Mus musculus: one gene and its partner. The protein of the gene in region 1 purifies or fractionates together with the protein of each later gene. This does not show direct contact. Links are inferred from orthologs where the notes say so. Each region holds a gene or a part of one and is shown on either strand. Other genes may lie near its edges.

Evidence for each region. Proteins that work in one complex are often made in the same cells at the same time.
Region 2: the proteins of Dld (region 1) and Dlst purify together in Homo sapiens (affinity purification with mass spectrometry; 3 studies listed by BioGRID and IntAct, counting the BioPlex papers as one, with this or other methods). This does not show direct contact. The link is inferred for Mus musculus from reciprocal best matches to the Homo sapiens genes DLD and DLST.

The regions. Positions count from the first base shown.
Region 1 is NC_000078.6:31,338,265-31,349,172, forward strand, and holds part of Dld (dihydrolipoyl dehydrogenase, mitochondrial precursor), read right to left. Parts: intron 6,639-10,908; coding exon 6,559-6,638; intron 5,180-6,558; coding exon 5,111-5,179; intron 4,550-5,110; coding exon 4,480-4,549; intron 3,215-4,479; coding exon 3,114-3,214; intron 2,744-3,113; coding exon 2,600-2,743; intron 2,118-2,599; coding exon 2,016-2,117; intron 1-2,015. UniProt on the Homo sapiens protein: Lipoamide dehydrogenase is a component of the glycine cleavage system as well as an E3 component of three alpha-ketoacid dehydrogenase complexes (pyruvate-, alpha-ketoglutarate-, and branched-chain amino acid-dehydrogenase complex).
Region 2 is NC_000078.6:85,117,565-85,128,472, reverse strand, and holds part of Dlst (dihydrolipoyllysine-residue succinyltransferase component of 2-oxoglutarate dehydrogenase complex, mitochondrial), read right to left. Parts: intron 10,115-10,908; coding exon 10,059-10,114; intron 9,947-10,058; coding exon 9,872-9,946; intron 9,692-9,871; coding exon 9,636-9,691; intron 9,241-9,635; coding exon 9,129-9,240; intron 6,487-9,128; coding exon 6,334-6,486; intron 5,694-6,333; coding exon 5,617-5,693; intron 4,700-5,616; coding exon 4,602-4,699; intron 163-4,601; coding exon 32-162; intron 1-31. UniProt on the Homo sapiens protein: Dihydrolipoamide succinyltransferase (E2) component of the 2-oxoglutarate dehydrogenase complex. The 2-oxoglutarate dehydrogenase complex catalyzes the overall conversion of 2-oxoglutarate to succinyl-CoA and CO(2).

The sequences.
Region 1 (10,908 bases):
CGTACATGCCCGGTGTCCTCAGAAGCAAGAAGAGGGCACAGACTCTCTAGAACTGGAGCAATAGATAGTTGAAAGTCACCATATGGGTGCTGGGAACTGAACCTAGCTCTTCTGCAAGAGGTACTCTTGTGCTCTTAAGCACTGAGCTATCTCTCCCTTTTGAGATGGCTACCTGAAACCTTCCCAATCTTGTCCTTTTGAGTCCCTGATAAAATAGTATGTGCTGCTAACCATTAAGCTATCCCTCTAGCCTCCAAGAAGAAGTTGTAAGTCCCTTTCAATCACAGAGCAGCAAGAAAAGGAAAATCCAGGGGTCTGGAGAATTGACAAATGGGACCTCATAAAATTGCAAAGCTTCTGTAAGGCAAAAGACACCGTCAATAAGACAAAAAGGCCACCAACAGATTAGGAAAGGATCTTTACCAATCCTAAGTCAGATATGGAACTAATATCCAATATTTATAAATATATATAAAAAGAACTCAAGAAGATGGAATCCAGAAAATCAAATAACCCTATTAAAAAATGGGGTACATCGCCGGGCGTGGTGGCGCACGTCTTTAATCCCAGCACTCGGGGGGCAGAGGCAGGCAGATTTCTGAGTTCGAGGCCAGCCTGATCTACAAAGTGAGTTCCAGGACAGCCAGAGCTATACAGAGAAACCCTGTCTCAAAAAAAAAAAACCAAAAAAAACAAAAAAACAAAAAAAATGGGGTACAGACCTAAACAAAGAATTCTCACCGGAGGAATACTAAATGGCGGAGAAGCAGCTGAAAAAATGTTCAACATCCTTAATCATCAGGGAAATGCAAATCAAAACAACCCTGAGATTCTACCTCACACCAGTCAGAATGGCTAAGATCAAAAATTCAGGTGACAGCAGATGCTGGCAAGGATGTGAAGAAAGAGGAACACTCCTCCATTGTTGGTGGGAGTGCAAGCTTGTACAACCACTCTGGAAATCAGTCTGGCGGTTCCTCAGAAAATTGGACATAGTACTGCCGGATGATCCAGCAATACCTCTTCTGGGCATATACCCAGAAGATGTTCCAACTTGTAATAAAGACACATGCTCCACTATGTTCATAGCAGCCTTATTTATAATAGCCAGAAGCTGGAAAGAACCCAGATGCCCCTCAACAGAGGAATGGATACAGAAAATGTGGTACATCTACACAATGGAGTACTACTCAGCAGTTAAAGACAATGAGTTCATGAAATTCTTGGGCAAATGGATGGATCTGGAGGATATCATCCTGAGTGAGGTAACCCAATCACAAAAGAACACACATGATATGCACTCACTGATAAGGGGATATTAGCCCAGAAACGTAGAATACCCAAGATACAATGTGTAAAACACAAGAAAATCAAGAAGAAGGAAGACCAACGTGTGGATACTTCGCTCCTTCTTAGAATGAGGAACAAAATAGCCATGGAAGGAGTTATAGAGTCAAAGTTCGGAGCTGAGACAGAAGGAACAACCATCCAGAGACTGCCCCACCTGGGGATCCATCCCATATACAACCACCAAACCCAGACACTATTGCATATACCAGCAAGATTTTGCTGACAGGACCCTGATATAGCTGTCTCTTGTGAGTCTATGCCAATGCCTGGCAAACACAGAAGAAGATGCTCACAGTCAGCTATTGGATGGAATACAGGGCCCCTAATGAAGGAGCTAGAGAAAGTACCCAAGGAGCTAAAGGGGTCTGCAACCCTATAGGTGGAACAACAATATGAACTAACCAGTACCCCCAGAGCTGTGTCTCTAGCTGCATATGTAGCAGAGGATGGCCTAGTCGGCCATCATTGGAAAGAGAGGCCCATTGGTCTTGCGAAGATTATATGCCCCAGTACAGGGGAATGCCAGGGCTAGGAAGTGGAAGTGGGTGGGTTGGAGAGCAGGGTGGGGGGAGGAAATAGGGGGCTTTGGGGATAGCATTTGAAATGTAAAGAAAATATCTAATAAAAAATTGCCTTAAAAAAAAGAAAAGGAAAATCCTTCTTACCAGTTCCACACCAATTACTCCTGCCCCAATAACAACCAGCTTCTCTGGAACTTTTTTTAAGGATAAAGCTCCTGTAGATGACACTATAGTATCTTCATCGATCTATAAAAAGAGCAAAAACAACAGTCAGAATTACTTGTGAAAACCTAGTATGACATTATCTTGATGTCATCCAATAAAATTTTACATCATTTATTTGCTTTGATGCTATCTATAGATATATCACAACTTCTTTAGCATTCACAATGCTACTCAGAAATGTTATCACTTGACAGAGACAGTCTTGCTATGTAGTCCTGGCTGCTAACCCTGCTAACCACTGACCCCATAACAATCTTCCTTTCCTGACTCTGCCTCCCACATGCTGGGATCACAGACACTCACCACCACGTTGTTTACCTTTATGTTAAACTTAAATATATTATAAAGTGTTCTATATCTTATCATAATCACTACAAAATACAGAGAAGTAACTCTGCAATGCTAAATGGTTGCCAAATTAGTGTTTCAGTCAGCATTTATAAACAGCATAAACTTATAAAAACCTGCTAGGTTGTAAGAGATGAATCAGGAAGCATAAATACCGTGATTCCAGGAAAAGGAGTAACTTCTGAGCCCGTAGCTACAAGGATGTTTTTGGTATCAATAACCTGAGTGCTGCCATCGGCTTTTGTAGCTGTAACTTGATTCTTGCCGGTTATCTTTCCAAATCCATTGACGTGAACAACCTTTATAAAGTAATGTTTACAAATTCACAATGTTTCAATGTTTTCCTGAGTAACAGGAGTAACAGGAACAATACTCTAGGTAATACAGAACATAAAATTCCTTAAAAATATACAATGCATGTAGCAGCAAAACACTATCTCAGAGACAGGTGTTTAAGGGTAGTGTAATTTTGGATTTTCTTTTGGTTTTTATTCTTTATAGGGTTTGGATTATAATAAACGCATTACATTAATTTTTAAATGTTTTAGTACTATTATAAATTAAATCAATATCCCACAGCAGGTCAAGATCATAAAACATGGCTATTAGCACAAAGCAATTATTTCATGTATATGTAAAATAAAACAGATCTGAGCACTGGACACCAACCTTATTTTGTTTGAATAAGTGAGCAATTCCCCCTGTTAATGCTTTTACTGCAGAATGCTTCTGCTCCATCATCTTCTCTAAATTCAAGCGAACTTCTGGTACTGTAATTTGTTAAATAAATCTTTTCATTATTTAAACTATGGAAGCAATATGTGATAGTTCCCAAGATCTGAAAATATTCATCTTAATGTTGATAAGACTTTGAAAAAGATAGCATTCACTTCTAAAACTTAATGACTGTCATGACCACACCTAGCAAAACCACATCATCAGGTCAAAATAACAGACCCTATCAAGCACTGTTAAATGTGCATCTGTGCCAAAAATGCAGTCCAAAACAGAAACATCCTATTTTCACTGTGGCACATTCTACAAATACTTTATGATGGTTATTAGTCTGGAAGATAGATAAAGTAAAAATGACAAAGTAGAACATCACCTGAAATTATAAATAAAAACAAAGGTTAAAACTTCATGAAACAATAACAAATATATATTTGAATATTCCAAAATATGAAAAAGCATAATGAGTTTAATCAACTAGGTTTTAAATTCATTTAACTCAGAACATTAAAGCAACAATGTAATTCAACTCAACAGAACTGCAGAGGTAAAGACATAGCAATCAGTCCATGAAGTCAACACACAGACAGACTCTTAGACATTTCTGACTGACAAAGGCCACCAAGCTAACAGGAAAAGCTTGCCTATATTGCATGTTTCCTGACACTCCTATGTCTTCTAACATCAGGGTACTTTCACAGAGTGTGACATACCTGCTGTAACATACACACATCTAATGGACCTCCTACACAGCCTCTTTCAGAAACCTACTTCTGTAAAAAGAATGCCACAAAGTGCATTATGTCTGTCTTATGTATGTATTGTCAAATATGACTGGAGAAAAAGGATAAAAACAGCCCCCCAAAGACATGGTGACTGAAGACAAAACAAACTCCATGCAAATGTCATGAATGGTCTTCTCTCGGGCCTCTCTCTGTTCCCACTCCCTCTCTCTGCTCTTTTCACAGCTCAGGTGGCCACTGTCCACTCTCCTTTCAGTCTTACCTGCAATAGCACAGCAATCCGGAATCTAGCAAGTTATGAGGGAAACAAAAAACTGACTCTTCACTGACACACACACACACACACACACACCCCCAAAAAAAAAAACAGAACTTAGGAAAAAATGTGCAAAGGCATAGAAGCTGTGATGGTAGTCTGAAGTAAACATTCTATGTAAATCTCTCCAAATTTCAAGATTTTTATCTCAGTTATCCTTCAATAAATACCTGTTCACACACACATCAGTATTTACCAAGAAAGGTCAAATACATATGGTACTAACTATAAAAGGTATACTTACTTTCAATTCCCCTAGATGCAAAATCTTTTCCGTGGGCCATATGGTAATAATGAGAATTATTTAATAAAGCCTAAAAACAGTAAGGCAAATTTACCAAATATGCATAAACAGGCTCTGTCACAAGAAAGCACTTACAAAATTACATTTCTATTTAAAATAGTACATACTACTATACAAATTCATCTTTCCTTCTCACACAATTAACCTACGATAAATAATACTGACTAAAACGTCATAGACAAACAAGAATAAAAAACAAAACAAAGCTGCTATATTCTTTAAAAGTAAAACAATAAGAACACATTTCAAGGTGGCAGGTTAAAAGGGACCTGTTTTCACAGGCAAGAATTTTAAGAACAAAAATTTTACTATTATCTTTTCGGTAGCAATGGAAAACTAAAGAGAAAGCAAAAACAAAACCAGAACAAAAAAGTCTGGGACAGGAAGAACTTCCAGAATATATGACATTCAAGAGGGTGTCAGCAATAGAAGAGTTACACAAAAAAAAAGTCGCATAAACATCTTCAGATTCCTTATAAGAACTGTATTAGACTACAAGTTGGTCTCCGTACATCTCTGCAGTCAGCAGCTAATAAAAAGCAATCTTGCAGCGTGTGAAACGCATGCTTACCTTTGAAGGAATACAACCAACGTTCAAGCATGTTCCACCTAGTGTCTCATTTTTCTCAATGCAGACTGTCTACAATCAAAGAGAACATTATTTAATAACAGGTAACATGCATGTTTTATTTCACTAAGACTCCAAATATATGTCTTAATTGGTCTGTAAAGTAAGCTACTCAATCTGTTTCTTCAGACTCAAAGTGCCCTCTGAGGGCCAATCCTGCAGAGCCAAAGCTGCTGGAGCTCCATGATACAGGGCAACAACAGGATATCGGAAAGGAGTCTCAGTGAAAAGTCAGTATTGATGGTGTAGCAGAAGCCAGAGGCCTAGAAGCAGACCGATGATTCACTGCAACGAACATCTGCCAAGTAAAGCTGTGTGGACAGAAGGGTGAACTGTGGGACACTGGCACACAAGTAAAGATGTACAGACACAAGGGTGGACTGTGGGACACTGGCACACAAGTAAAGCTGTGTGGACACAAGGGTGGTCTGTGGGACACTGGCACACTACAGCTTCCACAAGATGGTTTTCTTTTTTTATTCTTTTTTCAATTTCTTGGGGGAGGGGGTTGCAAGGGCAGAGGAGGGAATGGAGAGATGAGTGGGATTGGGGTACATGATGTAAAATTCATTTGGAATCAATAAAAAGTTTTTGTTTTGTTTTTTTTTTAAAGAACCCTTTGGGCTGGTGAGATGGCTCAGTGGGTAAGAGCACCCGACTGCTCTTCCGAAGGTCCAAAGTTCAAATCCCAGCAACCACATGGTGGCTCACACCATCCTCAACAAGATCTGACTCCCTCTTCTGGAGTGTCTGAAGACAGCTACAGTGTACTTACATATATTAATAAAATAAATCTTAAAAAAAAAAGAACCCTTTGAATTTTATCATCTGAATAATAGAAACTAGGCTAATTCTAGAGTGAATTATTCTAAAAAGATTTTTGTCCAACATTACCATATTGTTTTACTGTTAACACTGTTATCTCAAATATATTTACAAACCAAAATGAAGTATTTCAGAAAAAAAATAGCTGGCTTTTCTATACCATGAGACTTCTACACTCAATAAAGCCCATCAATATCAGGTTTACAAATAATCAATAGTTAAAAAGAATAATTTCCTGAGCTTGACAGGTGGCTCAGTTGGTTAAGAGAAGTAGCCACTCTTCCAAGGGACCTGGGTTCAATTCCCAGCATCCACACAGCAGTTCACAACTGTCTGTAACTCCAGTCCCAAAGGATCGGATGCCATCTTCTAGCCTCATGTGGGCACCACATGCGTACAGTGCACAAACACACATGAGTGCATATAAAACATCCAAAGATAAAGATGTTTTTTTTTAAAATATTTTAAAAATTATTTTCCATGTGTTTACCTGCAAAGTATTTTGTGACTAAAACCAGCTTGGTCCATAATAAAACAAAGCAGCCTCTACTTCAGGTCTACCTTACCTTAAAGCCTAACTGGGCAGATTTGATGGCAGCAACATATCCTCCAGGGCCAGAACCTATCACTGTCACGTCAGCCTCAACTGTAACAAGAACAGATTGATATAAAATGGTAAATTACTAGCATTTACCAAAATACTCCAAATAATCAGCATGTTCAATATGCCATTATTTTGTTCCAAGATGTCTGGTGTACTCTGATGCATCTAAAAATGGCACAACATTTGAGATCCCACTTTTATCTTGTAGTCATTATAAGATATGTAAATACAACTAAGTCCTAGGTTATGAACCCTATCTATATCCAGCTGCTACTTACTGGTTATTGTATGACAGATGACATAACTCCCCTATAACATAAGGAGGGCAAGGATGACATAAGAGGTTCAGAAATAAACTGACTAGCCTCAACTATCTAGTTATTGACTCCACCTTTGGTATTATTCTTCCTTCTATTTAATACAATCACATTCTTTAGTTTCAACCTTCATATATTAAAATCACAAAAAAAGCAAAGCTTTCAACCATAATGAGGTGACCTTAGGTGAATAATTTGACCTGCTTCATTTTAACCGCTCATCTGCAAAATAACCACACACACACACACACACACACACACACACACACACACCTTCCTTTATAGTGAGAATACAGAATGTTGAGGGCTGAAAATGGTTTAAACTGTCACTAGCCTTAATCTCCAAGTTATTTTGCAAACGTCTCCAATAAATATGATATACTCACTCTTATTCCAAAGTGTTCATCATCTGAAATCTTAAATTGAAACAATTCACTTTCTGAACATAATCTCAAAAACTTTTATTAGTCTTTAAGAATAAAAGAAGGATTTAAACAATTCTATTTAATAACTATAGAACCTTAGTTGTATATGACATAAGTTCAAATAATAACTATACAACTCAAATTTTTTTTTAAAAAAAGATTTATTTATTTATTTTATGTATATGAGTACTGTAGCTGCCTTCAGACACACCAGAAGAGGGTATTGGATCCCATTACAGATGGTTGTGAGCCACCATGTGGTTGCTGGGAATTGAACTCAGGACCCCTGGAAAAGCAGCAGTCAGTGCTCTTAACTGCTGAGCTATCTCTCCAGCTCCCACAACTCAAATTCTTAAGTAAAAAAAAAAAAAAATTCAGTTATTTGAGCACCAAAACAACATATGAATGATAGTGATGATGTCTATAGTCCAAAGTTGTTAATGACCAAAGAAAATACATGTCAAGAACCTAAGGTGCTGGGTACATACCAAGCACTCAGTAAATGTGGCTTGCTTTCTTAGATCTGCCTCCCACATTCTCTTAGGCCAGACTTTAGAGAATGAGCATCTAGCCTCAGTCCCATTCTGACAGCAGCCTATATTACTACCCCTTGTGCCAGATCTGACAAGGCAGCTCAGATATAATTTTCTCAGTCTTCATTAATCCCCCTGTCTGTTACTCAAACAACTCTACCTTGCTAGGTATAGCACCTACATCTTTTCAGTATTTCTCTAATCTCTTCTCCCACCCCATTCTGCACATCCATTAATACCAAGCTTCAGTAGTCAATTACATGCATAGAATTAGCTAGCCTACATATACACACTATTTCATTATCTAGAACTACATACTGACAGCATGCATTTCACAGGCCAAACACTAAGCTCTTGGAACATATAGTCACAATAATTACCCTGCCTCTTATAATCTGATTAGAGAAAAATAAAAAATTACCAAAGTCCAACCAGTAACCACAATGATATTTAAAATAAACTTGACCCTATGATGGCTCTGCTTAAAACACCTTACTGATTCCAAACTTCCTATCTGAGAAATCAACTCTCAAACTTCGATGTGTCAGCACTATGACTTTTTTAGTAGTTTAAATAGACTATGCTTCTTTCTATATTACAATAGTCACCCATTTCCACATATCCCTCTTCAGACAATGTCTGGGTTTCTTTTCTTGTTGATGTGACAAAACATAGTAACTTAAAAAAGAGTTTATTTGGGATCGACCACAGTTCAAGATACTTTAAATCCATCATGACAGGGGACACCAGGAGCTTGAAGAAGCTGGGGACATCACATCCATAAACAGCGATCTCAGCTCACTTTCTCTAGTTTATACAGTCTAGGATTCCCTGCCCAGGTAGTAATCCCCTCCACAATTAAAATGAATTTTCCCAATCAATTAATGTAATCAAGATATCTTCAAAGGCTAATCTAACCTCATGGGTAAGTCCCCAGACTTTTCTCCTAGGCGATGCCAGATGCAGGCAAGTTGACAATTAACAACAGTCATTACATATATAAACAAAAAATCCTCAAGAAAGAATTATGTAACCATTTCCTATCCACATACAGAGTTCATAAATCCCTATCCTTAGCCACTGGACTGTTTACCATGATTACAAGTATCTGTTAGATGTCTGTCTTCCTCAGGAGGACTGTGAAATACAAAGAAGCTTAATTGTGTCTGTTTAGATCACTGTTAATAACTTAGCACAAAACAAAAAAACAGCACAAAACAAAAAACTTAGCACAAAAATTAAATACTTATTGAGATACTGAATATAATAAAACAGTGAATGAAAATATGATGTAACTGCAACGAATCTGTGTCTGCTACAAGTGAACTACATCGTCCTTATCAATAGGAATAGAACCTCACACAGCCTGATGAATTTGCTTTATAAGAATATTCAAACATCTCTTAGGTGTTGAAACAGACATCCTATACAAGCTTTGATTTCCTCAAGCTGGTCAACCAATACACGTCTACGAAAGCAGAATAAAAACAATGGGTCAAGTGTCAAAAGAATTCTCCTACTTCTCTAAGAGCTTCTCTATTCATAACACAGGAAGGCTAACAGAGAAGTGTGGCCAAAGCAGGACAGGCACTAGAACTTAAGACTGTCTGAAACAAAGCTAAGCCCTGCATGTGTCAGATAAGAGTACTGGCGTTTTAGCTGGTACTACTCTGTATGGTGACCATGCTGAACATTCTGTGATACAGCAACTGAAACAGACAGGACTGCAGTTTTCTTTTATTCAGTAAGCAGGCAGTGAAGACCAACTGTGCCACCTTAGGTACTAAAGAAAAATCAGTCTTTGCCCCAGTAAAGCTTCTATTTTTGAGAGGAAAAGTTATTAAGTAAACAATTCAGCTTCATGTAAGTGTATAAAATTACTATTTCATCTATCCTAAAATATACTAATTTTATACTTATAATTTGACAATGTCAAGAGACACCCCCCCCCGAACCCCCTGATTAAAGGTTACTGTCTCTTAGTTTGTTTTTTTGTTGCTGTGATCAACATCATGACTAAAAGCAACTTAGGGAAGCCAAGACAGGAAGGAACCTAAAGGCAGGAACTAAAGCAGAAGGCCTAGAAGAATGCTGCTTACTGGATTGCTTAGCTTGCTTTCTTATATAGCCAAGGCCTACCTGCTACAGTGGATTGCACCCTTCCACTACACACATGCCCACAGGCCAATCTGATGGGAAGAATTCCTCAAATCGAAGTCCCTTTTCCCTGGAGACTCTAGTTTGTGTCAAGTAGACAAGAACTAACCAGCATGGACTCACTCCATAAAATCTAAGTGCCTGTGCAAAGACTGAAAATAGGAGGCTCTGATTACACCATAACATTCTGTTACACGATATCCAAGGCTGTCCTCTCATCTCCACACCTGCACTGTGGCATGCACACAGGGACTCATACATGTACACACATCCTAACACAGATCAAAATTAAAGAATAAAATACCTTTTTTTTTTGTTGTTTTGTTTTTTGTTTTTGGTTTTGGTTTTGGTTTTTCAAGACAGGGTTTCTCTGTGTAGCCCTGGCTGTCCCAGAACTCACTTTGTAGACCAGGCTGGCCTCGAACTCAGAAATCCACCTGCCTCTGTCTCCCAAGTGCTGGGATTAAAGGCGTGCACCACCACTGCCCGGCAATAAAATACTTTTAAATACAAATTTTAATGGGTTCAGTAAATGTATCACTTCAGTACTTTTTGTAAGTTAAATACCTTATCAAAAACCCATTTATCCCATTCCAAGTGCTTATAAAAAAAAAAACCAAAACACCTATCTTTTATAGAAAATTCAAAACTTCAAGAAAGCATTAAGAAGGAAATTATACACCCCACAGCTCCCTTCTCTGTATATAATAGTAGTCTTAAAGAATTTCATTCAAGATTTCAAAAATCATTATCATCACAGCTCTGAAACAACCAACACAATCTGACCCAATAGACAAAATTAATTCTTAAAAGCTGTAATACATAAAAATGCTCAACTCAAAACCCACCTGCAGTTCTCCCTCACCAGTGGAGTAAAATC
Region 2 (10,908 bases), about 54 Mb from region 1:
GTCTTTTCCACACTGGCCTCAGGAAACTTACCTGCATTTACAACAGGCTGCTCCTGCAAGGCGAACGCCGAGGCCTTCACAAATGCTGACATGAAGCCTAATTTGAGGTTATGTTTTTTCAGGAAAGCATCCTTGTGCCGAGCTCTCATCTCTTGTATGTTACTGTAAATACATGATGCAAAGAAACTGTTGGTGAAGCTCTGGTGTGTATATACATGCACATACTGCCACAGGCTAAGTGTCGAGGACCTCTGAGAAACGCTGGCAACGGCTTTACTCCTGAGCCGTGCTCCCCAACCCACCCCTGCATCCTACCCTTTTTTTTTTCATTAAATAAATTTTTTGTTAAAATAATTTAACTCCAACTGTTATTTGTTAAAATAATTCAACAACTGTTGAATTTGCATTGAGTTATAATGACAATTCATGTTTCAATTGAAATGTCAGGGCTCACCTGACACGGTTACAAAACAATAAGCCGTTGTTCGCTTTTCAATGGTCAGTTGTATTAGAGTCCAACAACTGTGAACTGGATCTCTGGGGAACCCCAAATCAATAACGGTAAGTCTGTTTTCAAAATCTACTGCAGCCATTCTAGAAACCCTGATCAAGGTTTAATAGATACACAAGGACAAATTAAACAAGAGGACCCCCATGGTCTTCAACATCTGATTGGCTGAGGATACAGTTAAAGCTGAGCCAGTGCTAAGGGGCTGGGGGCTACTGATGCATCCCACCCTTTTAAAGTCTAGAGACTAGGTGTACTGAAATTGCATGATCTAGCCTTAAACTTGCACTTCCTCTGCTTCAATCTCCCAACGAGCTGGGATGGCAGGCCTGTACTACCCACCAGAACAGCTAAAGCCCTAGTTTGGACTTTCACAAGTTTTCACCCATGTATACAAATGGATGGGCTTTCCCTTGGCCTGAAGCATCTAAGTTCAAGCTTTGAAACATTCTCTAGTAGTCAATGTAATAAAGTACTCTATCACAAAATACCAGCCTAGAAGAATCAGCGCCATCCTGTCCCTTAAGATGGTTGAGCCCTTTTAAGGAGATCCTTTTAGTTCTATGAGTCACAGATTTCAGTGACAGATAATCTAAAGATCACAATGAATACTACCATTCCAAACGGTACTAATTATACGCAGGAGCTAAGTCCAATATTCTTCCCGGCTTATGCAAAGTCAGCAGACTCACTCTTTCCTCTGAGTTAGCAGTTCTTTCTACTTGCTCATGAAACAGTTACTAATGCCCATTATGTGTGGGGGAGGGGGACTGGGCTGGGCACCAAGATACAACAACACAACAGTGTCTGCCCTTAAGATTAGTTTCACCGACTGTGGTTTCCTTGGTATTTAGAAAGCGGCTCCGTGTGGGCTGTGGCCTGTCTTTCAGATTCAGCGCTGGGCTTGCCTCTGAGAAGACTCTGCAACTTGAACATCCTCTGGTCTATCAAGCTAGCCCCCACCCCACCCCACCCCACCCCCACATACACATATGCATTGCAGAGTTAGTGAGAAACGTCTCTCCCATTGTTTTCCCACAGGAAGGTCTATGATTATAGGAATACCATTCCATGATGAAAATTGAGTTGAACTTTATCTCAGGCCCAAATGCTCACGTCTCCCTTTCCCCCTATAATGGCTTAATTCAACATTAGCAGGAAAGATAAGATGTGGTACCCTTTAACTGCCCACTTCAGACCTTTTGTTTTTGAAAAAAGGAAATTTTCCTGAGGGGATTGATTGGGTTTAAAATGTTTATTTTCCTGAGTCTAACCTCATTTAGTGCTAGAATTACCACCCTAAAGGCATTACTGCAGAAAGAGGCGTGGTGGGTGTCTCTGTTCTCAGACCTGCCTAGATGCCATTTTCTGGTCATTAAGGAGTTTCTATTTCAGAGCTTAGCCCTTGGAGGCAACGCTGAGCCAGTGGAGGAAGGGGCAAGTCTCAGAAAGACTCCTCTGGGTTCGCTGATAGGCATAAGACCCAAAGGGCACTCGATCTAAACCACATTACCGGCTCCCGGGAAGTCTCAGGCCACTGCTAAGTGACACTAGATTGGCTACTGAAAGAAGATCCAGCTATTACACAGATTTGCAATCAAGGATGTTGGGCCAACTGCATCTTTTAGAGATATAAATATTTACATGCTTCGTCTTAAGAAATGGGTAAAATTTCAAAGTCCAATTTAATTTGTGTACACTTTGCCGCTAATGCAGGAAACACGGCTGCAGTCTTTGTGATTCACTAGGAAAAGTCCTTCCCTACATTATGGGCTTCCCAATAAAATTAACCAGATCCCTACATACATTTCCAATAAACAAACTTCCTCACTGAGAAGCAGAGGGAAAGACTTAATACTCAAAGCAAAGGGAGATGGGTACCTTAGAGACGTCATCTTTGACTTAATTCATTCTTACACTGATATTCAAATACAGATCCAACCTTCACCATTCATATCCTATGTGAACTGTTGGCAAAAAAAAACAAAAACAAAAACAAAAACAAAACCAACCCAGATCTTTTCTGTTTCTTGCATTTTCTTGACAGTGCCATGATCCAAACTGCTAAAACCATTTGGAATGAGTTTCTATGTAACACTACTTAGCATTTTCATGTTGTTTTGTTTTAAATTGAGACAGGCTCTCATTCTGAACTTTATGCAGCTAAGGTGAACCCTGAATTGTTGGTCCTGTTGCCTCCACCTCTCAAGTACCAGGATGACAGATGACACACTCTCCCTGGCTTACATGCTTGTCATTCAAACTCCGAAAGCAAACAACACTCCCTTCTCCACTTCATACTCATTTTTATCTTTTTGATGCTTTTTTTTCTTCTAGATTTTATTTAGTGTTCACCAAAATGAGATAGCAAGATCCAAAGAGCTTTTTTGCTTGTTTGTTTTTTTCGAGACAGGGTTTCTCTGTGTAGCCCTGGCTGTCCTGGAACTCACTTTGTAGACCAGGCTGGCCTCAAACTCAGAAATCCGCCTGCCTCTGCCTCCCGAGTGCTGGGATTAAAGGCATGCGCCACCACGCCCGGCAAGATCCAAAGAGCTTTTACACTCATCTCCATAACTCCTTAAATTTCACTTTAGTAATCTGCATATGATAAACACTTAAAATACTTGTTAAATAAAACTATTTTCTCTTTCCCAAAATGCTGATACTTAGATATATCAAAATCTTGAAAAAAACAAGGAAATCAACCATTAGGCCATTACAGGAATGGGTATAGTGAACTGGGGGTTTTTACATTTTAGAGTTTAACTGTTAGGGCTAGGGAAGACATCCTCGTTCCCAGGTAAGCATGAAGACCTGAGTTTGAACTCCAAAATCCATATAAAACCAACCAAGCAAACAAACCATCCTGGGTTTGGTGGCACACATGAAATCTCAGAGTTATAGACGTAGGAGACGCGCAGATCCCTGGGGCTCACTGGCTAGTCAGCTTGGCCTATTAACAAACTCGAGGCCAGTAGAAACCTGCCTTAATAAACAAGGTGGATGACTCCCAGGAACAACAACTGAAATTGATCTTTGGCTTTTATATGCATGTATGCACACCTACACACTCCCACACGTACATATGTATGTGCTTGCTTGCACAGACACAGACAGACACACACACACACACACAGAGGAACTTAATTTAGTTCCAATTCCATAATCCAAACAGGGTAGAGTAAGAGGTGGCAGGTTTCTGTCCTTTTGCCTGCTAGATTCTGAGTTGCTTGGGAACTATACAAGAAACAATCACTGTCAGAAAGAAGGAGAGTGTGGTGTCCTTTTAGGCACATTGTGAAGGGTTCCCATTCCAAGGGGTAGCAAGAAGTGGGCCATTACTAGCAGCAGGACATGGCAGCACCATCACCATCATCCTCAGCTACAGAGAGTTCAAGCCCAGCTCAGGCAACATGAGACACTGTCTCAAAACCCACCCACCAACCAACCAACCAGCTTGGGCATAATGGCACACACTTTTAACCCTAGTACTTGGGAGGCACAAGCAGGCAAATCTCTGTGAGTTCAAGGCCAGTCTGGTCTACATAGTGAGTTCTAGGCCAGCTAGGACTATATATTTGAGACCCTGTCTCAAAAACCAAACAGGGACTGGAGCAGTTATGAGAACCCAAATGTGGGCTTGTACTCATGTCAGTGAGCCCCCAAGACCTGTAACTCCAGTTCTAAGGGATCCCTCTTCTGCCCTCTGTTGGCACCCCTGCTCCAAATTCACACATATACATAAGTAAAAGTAAATATAAAAGCCTAAACAAAAATGATTACCCTAGGATAATTTATCAGAGACCATAATAGTTCAGGCATGAAAGTCCAAAAAACTAAGCTTTTTACATTGCAGTAAAGCTCACTATTTTCTTACACGCTTTCTAATTCATTCCATAGTATTAGAGAAGTAAACTAGCAAATTAAGCCAGTGGGTCATGCTGTATAAGTCAGCAAGGAGCTAAGCAGAGAAATAAATACCTCTCCCAGGTCAAGCTAGTTTTGGAAGCAGCACTGATAAGGGCTACAGCAAGTTCCCGCGTTCTACTTCTAGAAACACAGATGTGGGGACTAGAGGGACTAGAGATCCCACCTCATGTCAACCTCATTGAAAGTCGTCAGCATTGCACACGTGTTCTGGGCTTCCTTCAGACGCTGGGCGATGCGCTGCCGCATCCTGTTCATTTTCTCCTGAAAGGGAAGTGGAACGAGTTGACCATGAGACCATCCCTAGTCAGTGAGAGGACTCAGCCTGTCAGCGATGGATGACAAGCACCAGAGACCCTCCCGCCTCTACCTCCTAAAGTACTGGGATTCATGGCATGTGCCACAGTGCTGGGCTCAATCACTACAGTTAAAGCTAGAGGCTTTCCCTTTCTGGAGTAGCCCCAGCAAAAACACAGACTCAGAGACCAAGGTTTTCACTCAGCTATACCTGAAATTTGACCAAGAACAGAAGCTCAGGAAATAGTGTGATTTAAAAACCAAAACCAATTTACAAAAGGAAGACTGTGGTGTAGATCCAGCCAGCTTAAGAGTCATTTCAGAAAGGGCGACTTCTCTTGATAAAGACTGGCGTGAGAATAACTACTTGGGGAACGGAAACTCTAAAGCAAGCTTTTGAAGCTATGGTATTTTTAGGAAGCATTCTCAGGCAAAGAACCCACACTCTTGACCATACTTCCTTGAGGGTTCTGTCTCCTCTGACAGAGTACTGCTACAGTGCAACAATCTGGCCCCACTGGCTCCCCAGCTGCGGCGAAATATCCCGGAAGTATAGAGAGAGAGAGCGCTCAGCAGACTACTGCTGTGACTACCGCTGTGACATGCGTGTCACTGTGGGGAGAGGGGCTGTGCGTCTATTCTCTGCAGACATTTTACTCAGTGGAAGCATTTCACCAACAGCACAATACAGTAGAAACCCCAACATTCGGGAGACACTGAGTTCTAGTTATTCCCTCTGACAGTCACGAGACCATGAACAAGTAACTTTCTCCCCCTTCTCAAGGCCAAGGCAAAGAGGTGCCAGCCCTTTCTAACGGTGACCACACTCCATTACTCTCCACAGCGACTCTCTGCCACTTCCCTGGAAGTTGTCGGAGGCTTACCCGATGTTCTGAACGCAGACCTTTAGCAGCTCCTGCCTCAGCCAGTGGAGGGGCAGCAGTGGGTTTTATTGCAGACACTGAAAATGAAGAGAGTGCACAGCTACATCGGACACGGACAGCAATACTTTCTGCACCGTATTAACCCTTTACCCTCAAGATACTAAAGTTTATCAGCATCATTCCAAACTCGCAGATGAACAATCTAGTCATAGAAGTAATTAAACTAGTGTCATATGGTTAGCAAATAAATAGAAGGCTGGTTTGCAAACCCAGTTCTTCAGCAAACTTGGTGTATTCAGAGCCATGGCATCAGACTGTAACTGTGAGGGACACGAAGTCCCTTCTCCCTGGGAGTCAGAGACTGTAAGGATTAATCTTGACTGTCAATTTGACAGGACTTAGAACCACTGGGAAGATAAAAGCCTGGCCATGTCTATAACAGTTTTTCCAGAGAAACTGAATTCTTGCTCTCAGAGTGGAGAGACTTACTGTGAATACAGGCAGCACTGTAATGTGGGCTGGGGTCTGGAAGTGAGTAGCGTTTAGCTAACAAAGTGAATGGAGCAGCAGACAAACTTTCTTGGCTGCAATGGCCACGTGACCATCTGCCGTGCACTGAAACCACACCTTCCCTGACATAAAGGACTCTTCATCCTCAAAACAAGCTAAAATAAATCTAAGTAGCTCTCCGTGAAGTATTCTGTTACAGGGTCTTACCTGGTTTGCTAGAAGGAGGCTGTGAGGGTGAGGGCACTGGTGGCATCTGAGTGAGCACAGGTGCTGCGGGGGGAGGAGGGGCCGCCGGTGCTGCGGGCTCTGCTTTGTGGGCTGGAGCAGGAGTTTCAGCTGGTTTGGCCTTAGCAGGAGCAGCTGCACAGAGAGAGAGAGAGAGAGAGAGAGAGAGAGAATGCCATTGGCACCACTCCATGGAAGGCAATTAACCACAGCTACTAAAGAGGATTCAGAGAGAAAGGTCTATTTCCAGCCTCAAACAAATGTCTCCTAGGTCCTTGCTATAGGCAAAGCATCAAGTGATACACAGTGACACGAGCCACTACTCTCTAGTCTCAGGTCTCCCTAAACGTCCTGCTGGCTCGATTCAGATGCCTTCCTGATTTCACAAATATTAACTAACATCTACAGACTTTCAAATTCAGCAAATACTTTCAAAGCACATACTAAGCCCAAGGAAATAAAACTTAAGCCAATGATTCTCAGCCTTTCTAATGCTGTGACCCTTTAATACAGTTCCTTATGTGGTAGTAAACCCTCCCCCCACAGCCACTTCATTGCTACTTCATAACTGTAATTTTCATACTATCATGAATCATAATACAAATATCTGATATGCGTAGGTTTTTGGGTGACCCTTGTGAAAGAGTCACTCAACCTCCAAAGGGGTTGGTGACCAGCAGAACCACTGTTTTAAGCAAAAACAACAAAGCAAATGAAAATGTTTAAATGCACACATAAATGTGACACGCTGCTAACAATCTTCTATTTTAGAGTTAACATGTACAAGAAATACTCTTTCTCTTTTGTTTTTGGGTTTTTTGGGTTTTTTTGTTTGTTTGGTTGGTTTTTTTGTTTTTGTTTTTCAAGACAGCTAACAAAGGGTTTCTCTGTGTAGCCCTGGCTGTCCTGGAACTCACTCTGTAGACCAGGCTGGCCTCGAACTCAGAAATTCGCCTGCCTCTGCCTCCCGAGTGCTGGGATTAAAGGCGTGCGCCACCATGCCCGGCTCTCTTGTTTTTCAAGACGTTTCTCTGTGTAACCCTCCCCTGGAACTCTCTGTAGACCAGGCTGGCCTCAAACTCACAAAGATCCACAAAGGTGTGCACTGCCACCACCAGGCAAAAGGAATACTCTTAACCATTAAAAATTTTTTAAAAAGGAATGGGGGTGGGGGATATAGCTCAGTGGTTAAGAGCACTGACTGTTCTTCTAGAGGTCCTGAGTTCAAATTCCAGCAACTATAACAGTGGTTCACAGCCATCTGTAATAGGATCCAATGCCCGCTTTTGGTGTGTCTGAAGACAGTGACAGTGGACTCATATACATAAAATAATTCTTAAAAGAATGTTAAAAAAAAAGAACATTTATTTTAAATAAATAAATCAAATTAAAGAATTATTTTATCATTATTAACTGTGTATATGTGCACGTGAATGGAGATGCCTATAAAGGCTCATTGGAACCCGTGGAGCGGGAGTCTTAGACAACTGTGAGCTGCCATGTAGGCACTGGGAAGTGAACTTGGGTCCTCTGAAAGAACAGTATCTACTCTGAACCACTGAGCCATCTCTCCAGCCTCTGAACTCTTTAATCTTAAATGAGCATTTGATTAAAATGTTATTTTGGCGCCTGGAAAGATGTCTCAGGGGTCCCAGCATGAATACTGACAGGTGTATTCATCCTAGCTACTTCAGATTTTTTTCCCTTTACTTTGAACTTGATCTTGCCCTGACCAACTTTAATGGTCTAATCTACCATCTTTCTGCTTGACTATCTTAACAGTTAAATACTCTAACTACAAAAATCTTTACTTACAAGTCAGAAAAACAGATTTTCTAACCCCAATATTGACTATAAGGTCCAGTACAGGCATCTTTCTTTGGCATTTCTTCCAAAGAGAAATGCCAATTTTTCCTGAGAAAAATGTGAGAAGAAACTACACGGAAAGGAGGTGATTCAGTGGTGGAGACACACAGGACCAAGTCTGACAACCTGAGTTCGAGCGCTAGGGCCCATGTGACAGGAAGGGAAAACTGACTCTCAAGTTACCCACCGACCTCCACACTCGTGCCTTTGTGTGTACACTCCCCACACAGATACACACACACACACACACACACACACACACACACACAAATGTAATTGTAAAGAAAAAAGGAAACTACACTCAATTGTCAACACAGTGGCTCTCAGGCCTGACTATATGTCAGAATCACTTAGGAGAATGCTACAAAACTAACAACAATCCAACTATTATAGCAAGGTGGTAAATCAGAAATCTCAGGAGCTGGAAGCCTTTTCATTTGTATCTTTTTTAAAGCTCCATGTGATCCAGGTCAGTGCAGGGAAACTACTCTCTTCAGATACCTGACTTCTGCTAGTCTGACCGTCTGTCCGTCCATCCCCGTCCCCCCATCCCTGTCACCTCCACCCCTACCCCCTTGGAGCCGAGGACCAAACCCAGGGCCTTGTGCTTGCTAGGCAAGCTTTCTACCACTGAGCTAAATCCCCAACCCCCTGTTAGTTCTTTAAGAAAAAGATCCAATCTGAGAAATATGGAAAGAACAGAGTATTGTGGGTTTTTAAAATTACCCTGTTGGCTTAGAACTTGACAATGAAAGTTCACCATCCATCAACAGGATTTCTTCTACCCTTCAACTAAAGGTGTAACTAGAATGCCAGTCAGAGGCAGGGGAGTTGCTAGGACAGTATGCTCAGCCTCAATCCCACCAGGAAACACTGGAGACCTTAACCACCAGGAAAAAGAACTTCTTTACCACCAGTTTTCCTGAGTGTGAACAGAGGAGTTCCTCCTTCAACTTTGCCCCCATCGGGTACCAAAAGAGCTTCAATGATGCCATTTGCTGGCGACGGAACCTGCACAGAAGTCTGGAAAGGAAAGAAATGGAGACAGAGTCCGGCATTTGTATCCTATCGGCATTTGTATAGTATTGCATTAGTCAAGCAGGATGAGTAGAAAGAGTTACAACACTGTTACACCTGGATATTACATCTCCTCTGCACACAGAAATACCTAAGGCCATGTTTTCAGTCAGAAAAAGACAAGTGATTGCTATCTTGAGGATTCACCTTCTGTCTTTTCTTAGAAACATTAAAACATGCTTTAGTTACTATGTTTCCAAGTGATACAAGGAAGAAGACTGAAAGCAGCCCAGGAACCACAAAGCAAACAAAGTAGCTACTGATTCAAGTTACTAGTGTACATACTACATACGACTGAATAATCAAAAGTAATCTGTAATAAATCCTTAGGATGAACCCACCTTGTCTGTCTCAATCTCACACACCACTTCATCTTCTGCAACCGCATCTCCAACAGCTGAAAGACAAAGGACACCTGTTGGCTGGGAGCCTCAGGGCCCCTGTTAACCCACTGTGTGAAAAGACCACTTTCCTACAAGACTGGGCAGGAAGTAGATGCGTATGTGAGGAAAAGGTGGAGCCAGTTCCCACTTGCTGTGCTTCATGAAGAGACCTTAGTTTTTAACTTAAAGCTCACCTTTCTCCCACCTGACATCTCCCTCTGTGACAGACTCTGCAAACGCTGGGGTTTGGACTGTTATCACATCATTCTCTAGGGAAAAACAAAACAGGAAAACCACAAGTGCTCATTCTGTCTTTAATAATCTCACTCAGTTGTTTCTCTTCCCAGTAAAAGTCCATTCACAAGAAATCAGGTACTTAACTGCACACAGCCGTGGTTTGGAAGAAGCGAACCCTGAAGACGCTACCACTGTTAATGCTACAAAAGAAACACAAATGTTAATTCTTTTTAGAATGTGAGCCACTAATATCTCAGTCCAGTCCAGGTACCAAGGGTTACCTACTTAAACTGGTGGATCTTAAGCAGATTCTCCTGCAGGGGACCTTGTCAAAGCACACATGTCAGGCCAGACCTGGACAGATTCTGACTCAGCAAGTAGCACCCCAAAGCCTGATGATCTAAGTGCCTTAAACAGTGCTCCATACTAAAATGAAATGTCACCTCTCAAAAGAGTGAGACACACTGGTTCTAGGAAGTAAAAAGAATCTTAGTCCTTTGCAAACTAACCAAAATGATGTTTCCTCCCAATTAGGTTTCTTTAACCAAATCCTCTGCAGCACGCAGATATGCCAAACACAAATGTGTTACTACCCTCAGGATTAGATTTCCATAAGGCAGCAAAATGAGAGTAAACTCAGAAGCAAAAAGCAAAGTATTAGGCAACCACTAACCCCGCCCCCCAAAATAATTAAAAAACAAAAACAGCAACAAAAAAGAAAACAAAGCAAAGCAAAACAAAACAACCCCCCCCCCAAAAAAAAACCCATGGTATTTCCTCTAACATTCCCATACACAGAGGCAGCACATCTGCCCTTCCTGGACTCACTGCAAAGGAACCTCAAAACCATGCCGTTTGAACATGGGGTAGTACACGCTGGAAGGTGATAGCTATCACCCTCTGGACAAACTCACTAAGTTACAGCTGAGGAGTGGAGATACAGTAGAGATACAGTGGAGATACACCTGGTTACTAAGGTTATCTGCCACTCAAC